Kluyveromyces lactis: one gene and its partner. The protein of the gene in region 1 interacts with the protein of each later gene in a biochemical or structural test. Links are inferred from orthologs where the notes say so. Each region holds a gene or a part of one and is shown on either strand. Other genes may lie near its edges. The genes, in order: FUS3 and PTP3.

The links.
Region 2: of the proteins of FUS3 (region 1) and PTP3, one has a biochemical effect on the other in vitro, tested with the Saccharomyces cerevisiae proteins (2 studies listed by BioGRID, with this or other methods). The link is inferred for Kluyveromyces lactis from reciprocal best matches to the Saccharomyces cerevisiae genes FUS3 and PTP3.

Annotation. Positions count from the first base shown.
Region 1 is NC_006041.1:928,566-931,767, forward strand, and holds FUS3 (mitogen-activated serine/threonine-protein kinase FUS3), read left to right. Parts: upstream 1-1,423; coding exon 1,424-2,539; downstream 2,540-3,202. Other genes in the region: PEP1 (type I sorting receptor), read right to left, coding at 1-836. UniProt on the Saccharomyces cerevisiae protein: Together with closely related KSS1, FUS3 is the final kinase in the signal transduction cascade regulating activation/repression of the mating and filamentation pathways, induced by pheromone and nitrogen/carbon limitation, respectively.
Region 2 is NC_006039.1:675,104-679,632, forward strand, and holds the start of PTP3 (tyrosine protein phosphatase PTP3), read left to right. Parts: upstream 1-1,611; coding exon 1,612-4,529. UniProt on the Saccharomyces cerevisiae protein: Major phosphatase responsible for tyrosine dephosphorylation of MAP kinases FUS3 and HOG1 to inactivate their activity; it also has important roles, along with MSG5, in the inactivation of FUS3 following pheromone stimulation.

The DNA of each region.
Region 1 (3,202 bases):
AATAGATGATTATCGGAAATGAACGTTGATGCTGGAGACAAATCCTGTAATTGTTCGGCAAACGGACTCAAACTCTTAAAATTAACATCGGTGATATACAACTTACTGGAAACATCTCCGAAAGGGGATAGTACGGTACTCTCCTGACAGATTACCTTGTCTTTTAATTTGTACAGTTTTGATTTTGATGATTTCTGTACGAATGAACAAAACATGTTTAAAGGGTTTGAATCATCATTACTTTTAGAACCAGAGCTGGCCAATTTGAAATTGTTACCATCTTTGGAATAAAACGAAATCTGCCTTAAGGTAAATTTACCATCCAGTTTACCTAGTTCATAGATATTGATAATTCTTGCATTCTTATTTGTGGGATGTGACTCGATTTCAACGTTGATAATCGGTTTACGATTTTCATCGCCGACGTTCGAATAATCAGAGAAGTCTATCTTATGATTATCTGCGTCTAGGAAAGTTAACTGTTTCCAAGATTTCCCTTTATCACCGGTAGCTAAAACGCCGTTTTCACCACTCAAATATGCAACATCTGCTTTATAAATCCGATCTAGTACCAAGTGATTCCATTCCTGAGGTTTGTTATCAGACGAAAGGGGCAATCCCACCGAATCCCAAGTAACACCATTATCCTCACTTCTATAAAGCTCAACACCACGAAGAAGTTTAAGAACTACTCTCGAATCATCAAATCCGAGGATAGACAAGCGGCCATGCGTGTCTACATCCGAATGGAACGATACCTTGGGTTTAAAATCCTGAGCCAAAACGGGCAGAAAGTTCCAAAGCCCCAGCCAAATAAGGATATTCCACCAAAACATGAGACAAAGACGTTAAAAGTACTGCAAGCAATGTAAAAGGGTTTCGTTTATATCGGTAATTGAGTATATACATGAAACACAAGCTAACTACCGCTAAGACCAAAATTACAACGAACTGTTGAACAATGGTTCAAAAGACAATCTGTACGATATATTCTATTTTTTCCTCCTAGCAATTTTGATAATACCAATTCTGAGCATTTGAAAGTTGGTAAAAGGGAAGAAGGAAAAAAAAGGACGCGTCACGTGAATGTGAACATAATTAAGAACCTTAATTTTTCCCTAAACTGTTGCAGCTTGTTTCACATTATCTCTGAAGAAATTAGTCTCGTTTCAAGATGAAACGGCCGTACTTAAGGGAATATGGGGAATGTCGCGTTCATGAATTACAAACAATTAAAGTGAAAACTTCGATGGTTTGAGGTTTTGAGGCGATTTAGTGAGAAACAAGAAGACTTAAGATATTACATATATATATATCATACCTAAAAGTGGGTAAATATGGATAAATTCTCAGGCAAGAAGGGGTGGACAAATTTTTGCTCTGGTTTTATTCATCCAGAGAACCAGAGATAGATAGTGTGACAATGGGCAAGAGGATAGTATTTAACATAAGCTCTGAGTTTCAACTACAGTCGCTTCTCGGTGAGGGTGCTTACGGAGTGGTATGTTCAGCGAAGCACAAACCCAGTGGAGAAATAGTTGCTATCAAAAAGATCGAACCTTTTGAGAAACCCCTATTTTCTATTAGAACATTAAGAGAGATCAAGATATTGAAGCATTTCCAACACGAAAACATAATCAGCATATTTGACGTGCAAAAACCATCATCTTTCGAACAGTTTAACGAGGTGTACATAATTCAAGAGTTGATGCAGACGGACTTGCATAGAGTGATCGTGACGCAGGAACTAAGTGAGGATCATGTGCAGTATTTTGTATACCAAACTTTAAGGGCGCTTAAAGTGCTGCATGGAAGTAATGTGATCCATCGAGATTTAAAACCAAGTAATTTGTTGTTAAACAGCAACTGCGATTTGAAAATCTGTGATTTTGGTTTGGCAAGAATTGTATCTGAAAGAGCAACAGATGGCGATGCCCATGTTGACGCTGATGACACGGATGATAACTCCCCTTCATCGGCGGCTAATGACGGTGACCCGGCAATTTCGGGAATGACAGAGTATGTGGCAACCCGATGGTACCGAGCACCGGAAGTAATGTTAACAGCTGCACAGTACTCCAAGTCCATGGACGTATGGTCATGCGGATGCATTCTTGCCGAGCTCTTGGGGAAACAACCGTTGTTCCCCGGGAAAGATTACAGAGATCAGTTGATCCTGATATTTCAGACTTTAGGGACACCCACGGAACAAGAATTGGTGGAGCTAGTAGAAAATAGACGTGCACGTGAGTACATTCGCTCGTTACCTAAGCATCCCAAGATCAATTGGCGGCGTAGGTTCCCGAATGCATCTGCAGCCGCTCTTGATCTCCTTGACCGGATGCTGCAATTCGATCCGAGGCTACGGATCACTGCCACGGAAGCGCTATCACATCCATACTTGGTCTCGTACCATGACCCGGACGACGAGCCCGAAGGAACTCCGATTCCTTCGTCATTCTTTCAATTTGACCAATGGAAGTCGCGGCTAAATACAAAGGATTTGAAGCGGCTGTTATGGAACGAAATCGTGTCATGAGACACACCATCCAAAAACAAACGAATGACTAAGTAACCACTAGCGTATTATATCATTTTCTTGTGTAGAGGTCTCCAAAATGAACAAAGAACACCATCAGATAAACATAATGCGGTTTTGTGCTTTGGAAAGGAAAAAAAGAAATTGAGACGAAAAGATCCCATTTCGGAGCCGCCGTTCTGCGATTATCTTAAATGCGATTTTTTCTTGTTTGTTTTAGGGGCCCCCTCGTTGCAGGGAAGGTCAAACCAAGAAAAACAAATTACACGCACTAGGAAATCTGTGAACGAAAATGCAAAAAATCCATTGATCCGGACTTTAACACGCATGACTCTTTCCTTCACTATGGTATGCTCTTCAGTCATACATTGCCACATGCAGTAATTCTTACGACCCGATACGATTCCTTCCCCTCTCTATCCTTGCAAACTTAGTAAACTGAGTAAGCTGCACCATTAATGTTTCGGGATGTCCGAGCTATTGTGTGATTCGAGTAGCGCACAGCAGTTAGACGCGATTTTTTTTTTCTAACGCGCTGCATTACTTCGCTTAGTATATCCAGCCATTTTTTGTTGTTTTGGTTTTTAGTTTTCGCTTTGATTAACAACGGTTAAACTCCAGTTAGTAGCAGACAGAAATCAACTTGTGTTCTTGCGTTTTTTT
Region 2 (4,529 bases), on another chromosome or scaffold:
ATATCAGGGTAATGAGGTGGATGCCCTTTTCATATTTACCCGCACGTTCAGCGTCACGTGAATGAGTAAAGTGTAAACAAGCCAATAAAAGAGGTAAAGACGCCATCCGGGTACAAATTGCTCGAACAGTTCTAAGGGCGGACCCTGGTACAGATACAGTGCGTTGACTTCTAGGCGTACGTAATTTTCGCTTTTCGTTTTGTGAGTAGTGGTAGCCTTTAGTTTCCGAGTTATTTCACTACGTTAATTTCTTCGTTTCAGCTTGCAGAAAGATGTTCGAGACCCGAGTCCATTTCTATTGAAAATTCTTTTCTTTTGTGAGGGAAGCGAACTTTCGAACCGTTTTGGTCACTGCTTTCCGTGCTAACATTCTGGATCAAAAGTACGAAATTTTTCGAGCCTTAGTCCCATGGTAACTCTCGCATTACTATTTGACAAATGAACGTTTACTGATCAGAGTGTGTTTAGGGCAGAGAGGTAATGTCCGTTTCGACCGTAGTCTCGAACCGGAACAATGATCAACGCCTTGGTTTTCCCGAGAAAATTCGTGTTCGTTTTTGCAAGAGCACGGAGGACAACATTCATTGTCAGTTCTAAGAAAGAAAAAAAAGCCAGTTGCAAATAATTGTAACGACGTAATTTACTGCGCAAAAGAGCCCCATCTATGATTATGCTCATGATTGAAATTTATTCCCAGGATTTTGCTGTGGTGTGTTATGCAGCCATCTGCAATTCTTCTATTAAACTACTTTTCACAAGTTGAAGAGTACAAGTCCAAGAACATACTCTCAGACTAGTACCCAGGGGATCTAGATCTTTTGACTATTAGCATATTTTTCGGTCCTTATTATACCGTTCTTTCGGCTCTACTGTTGATTTCTAGATTTGTGTCTTTTTTTTTGTTCATACATTTCACAAAGCAACAGAGTGTCGTAATTAACCATAGAAACTGCTTCTTCATCCGTGATATCCTTGTAACATGTCTTGACAATTTGCGGTTCTTATTCAACAAGAGATGAGTATTGCTTGGTAAAATTGCAATCGGCATGAGGGTGTAAATAGTTTAGAAGATTTATCGCATATTTTTCTGAGTCCTTTGTTTTCAGTACCTTTCTGCCTACATAAGGTGTCTTTTCAGGTAATTTCCTACAGATGAAAAGTAATCTAATTAAGTAGCAAGGTGTCTGGTTCAACCAACGAAGTGGGCATTACTATATCACATATGCATTTATGTAATTCGACCGTATATCACGTGGATGTGCGTGCTAATTGTTGTTGTTGTTGTTTTTTTTTCCATTGGATATGTTTCTCGAATGCATGCATCTGTGTATCCTTATGCAATCCTCTTCTCAATATCTTTTTTAGAATTTCTTTTCTTTTCGGTCAAGTGTTTTCTAATTCGTAATTTCTAGGTCTAGTGCATTATTGAACCAAATAGAACAGCTTCCAACATCTTCAGCTATCTTTTAACTTTGTTCGAATCACTGCTTTAACGAAGACACCAAATAAGAACCTATACCAAGACAAAACTGTCAAATTAAGCATACAGAAAGAAAGTACTTTGTTAGTAATAGGGTGTCAAATCTAATCTATTTATAATTTCGAAGAGAAATGGAGTATATAGACACGATGGGCACCAACAAACAACAGGAAGAAATCCAACTCAAAGAACCTCTTTCGTTTTCAAGGCCTCTCGCTAGACCACCATCGATATCTGGATGTACAGAGTATAAAGATCGTGATTCAATTCAGAGCAGCTCATTCACATCGGAAAGTTCATCAGTTCTAAGTTCGTCATCCACTTTGATCGATGATAAATCGTCGAATTCATCGTTAGCATCTCCTGCCCTGAGCGCAAATTACAAAAGAAATTCAACGGAGGTACTGCCCGAAAAGATTCTGATACATGCGTCGACTTTCCCTTCAGCATCTGAACCTTCGTATAGTACATGTACACCTTCACCGTTGTCAGCATCTCATAGAAGTTCCCTTTCGTTTTCACGGAGTAGATCGCGGAGCATAGCAATGAAGTCCAATAGCTTGCCCGCTATTCCAACAATATGTCCAAAAGATCTCCGATTTCCTAAACATAAAGACTGCTCGTTTATTAGCCCTGCGGACTTGCACCATTATATTGAAAATATGGACCAGAATCCCAATGAAAAACTGATAATATTCGATACAAGGCCGTTCATAGAGTTCAACAAAAATCACATCAGATCGGCAATGCACTTGTGTCTTCCCTCGACTTTACTGAAAAGGAAAAACTTCAATCTGGAAAGGTTGATAGGTAATCTACCTTCCCCAGGAAGGGAAACTTTATCGGAATATTTATTGGGCAGTGACAGCGCCACTGCAAATGCCAAGGTGGTTATTTACGATAATGTGGCAAACCAGACAGATTATGCAGTATCATTGGCATGTTTCGGAATATCTTCTAAGATCCTCGATCATGTAAGTGACAAACAAAAGCCTTCTGTTTTCATTCTCGCAGAAGGTTTTGAATCATTTAATGCAGCATATCCTGATGACGTCGAAGTTGGTACCATGGATTTGGAAGACTCTTATACCTTAGATTCCCCATCTTCCCCTCATCAGGCAGACAATATTTCTCCAGTTCAACCGCAGTTGAAACACTCTGGTAGATCTCATTCGCATTCTTGTTCTCCTTTGAAACAGCCACCACAAACCGGTAACAGTAGGACTCTATCTGGTTCCCCAATATCCACATCATCACCATTATCATCTTTGTTTGGATTTAAACTGCCGGCACCGATAAATAATCAACATTTACCAACTTTTAAGTTACCGCAGATTGAGCATGACATTTCCGATCTAGATAATTATGTGAAGGCCGTAGAGATCAATGAACGCTCTCAAAGAAATTCTTTCTTAGAATCAGAAAATGACCTAAGATCCTTCAAATTTCCTGCTTCACCGTCCAAACAGTTCAGTACCGATGCGACTTCGTCATCATTTACTTCAACTCAAACAGCATTATCGCCAGCAGATCCTTCTAGTGGCCACAATTCATCTAAACTAAATTTCCAAGTTAAATATGATAACCTATACCACAGATTTGCTTCAGAGGAGATCAATCAGGTAGTTCCTTCCTGGTTCTGCCAATTAATGGACATTCCAAAACTGCACTTTATATCTAAGTTCCAAAGATTGGAGTTATTAGAAAGAAAAAGACTTCAGAGATTATTGGGCCCCTCATCGTCCGCTTCAATTGTCAGCACTCAATCTCGGTCTACTGTAGCTGGTAACGACAGATGTGTCGAAGATGGTCATTATGATGTTGATGAGGATGATGCTGAAGAGAACTTACAAAGCATCACAATATCATCTGGGGTAGAATTTGGGACGAAGAATAGATATAAGGATATATTTCCTTATGAGCACACAAGAGTAAAGCTCTCGCATTCTAGTATATGCAGTGCTGGCTGTGAGAATTCAACCCCTTCCCCGAGATCTTCCGCATATAGTTCCTGTGCTAGTGGCTTGCCAACTCAAGATGAACAAGAGGATGTTTGGAATACCTATATTAATGCTAACTATTTGGTTAATCCTTTTGCCCAACTTCAGCAAAGCTCTACCGCTGACATCAAGTCTGTACGTTATATTGCCACCCAAGCTCCTTTGAAAGAGACAATTTCGGACTTCTACACCTGCATTCTGAACAACAATGTGCCCATAATTCTAACGCTAACTGATGAGTTTGAAAATGGAGTTGAGAAGTGTTGCAACTTTTGGGCAAACGGTAACTATGATGGTATAAACGTCAAACTTCTGGATGAATTTAGTACTATGTTACAAGATAAACCAATGAAGGCAGAATCTAACCATGAGGAAGATATGTTTGCATCTAAGTTTTGGAGACATCTTAAATTAAACAAAACTTCAGACAATAACAATGAGATCATCATTCGAAGAATTGAACTGAGCTATAATAATGATAGAAGTAAGTTCCAACTATTGCAATTACAGATAAAAGACTGGCCAGACTTAGGGACATTGCTCAAACCAAACGAAATTCTGCAAATAATCAATTTGAAGAATTTTGTCATTGATAGTCTGTTCGCACATAACGTGTACTCTCCTAATTACACACCGACTGTGCTCGTTCATTGTTCTGCTGGATGTGGTCGAACAGGTACTTTGTGCACTGTTGATTCCATATTATCAAACCTAAAGAAGTTTGATACCGATGAGAATCCTTCTTTGTATGGCGCCTTCGCCGTACCGTTAACTCCTAATCTTTCTCCAACTACAAAATCTAATTCTTTTTCTGCTACGAAACCACCAACAAGTCTCATGTTTGATCCAATCGTGACAACCGTAAACCAGTTCAGAAGACAGCGTATTTCTATGGTTCAAAATATCAACCAATTTCTCTTCATTTATGATTGTCTATTATTCTATTTTACATTGAATTTGGAGACTTCACCAACAGACCCTGAAAAGCGTAATAACTGGCAGTCTATGACAGACGAGAACTCACACCTTGACATTTTGCACAAATTTAT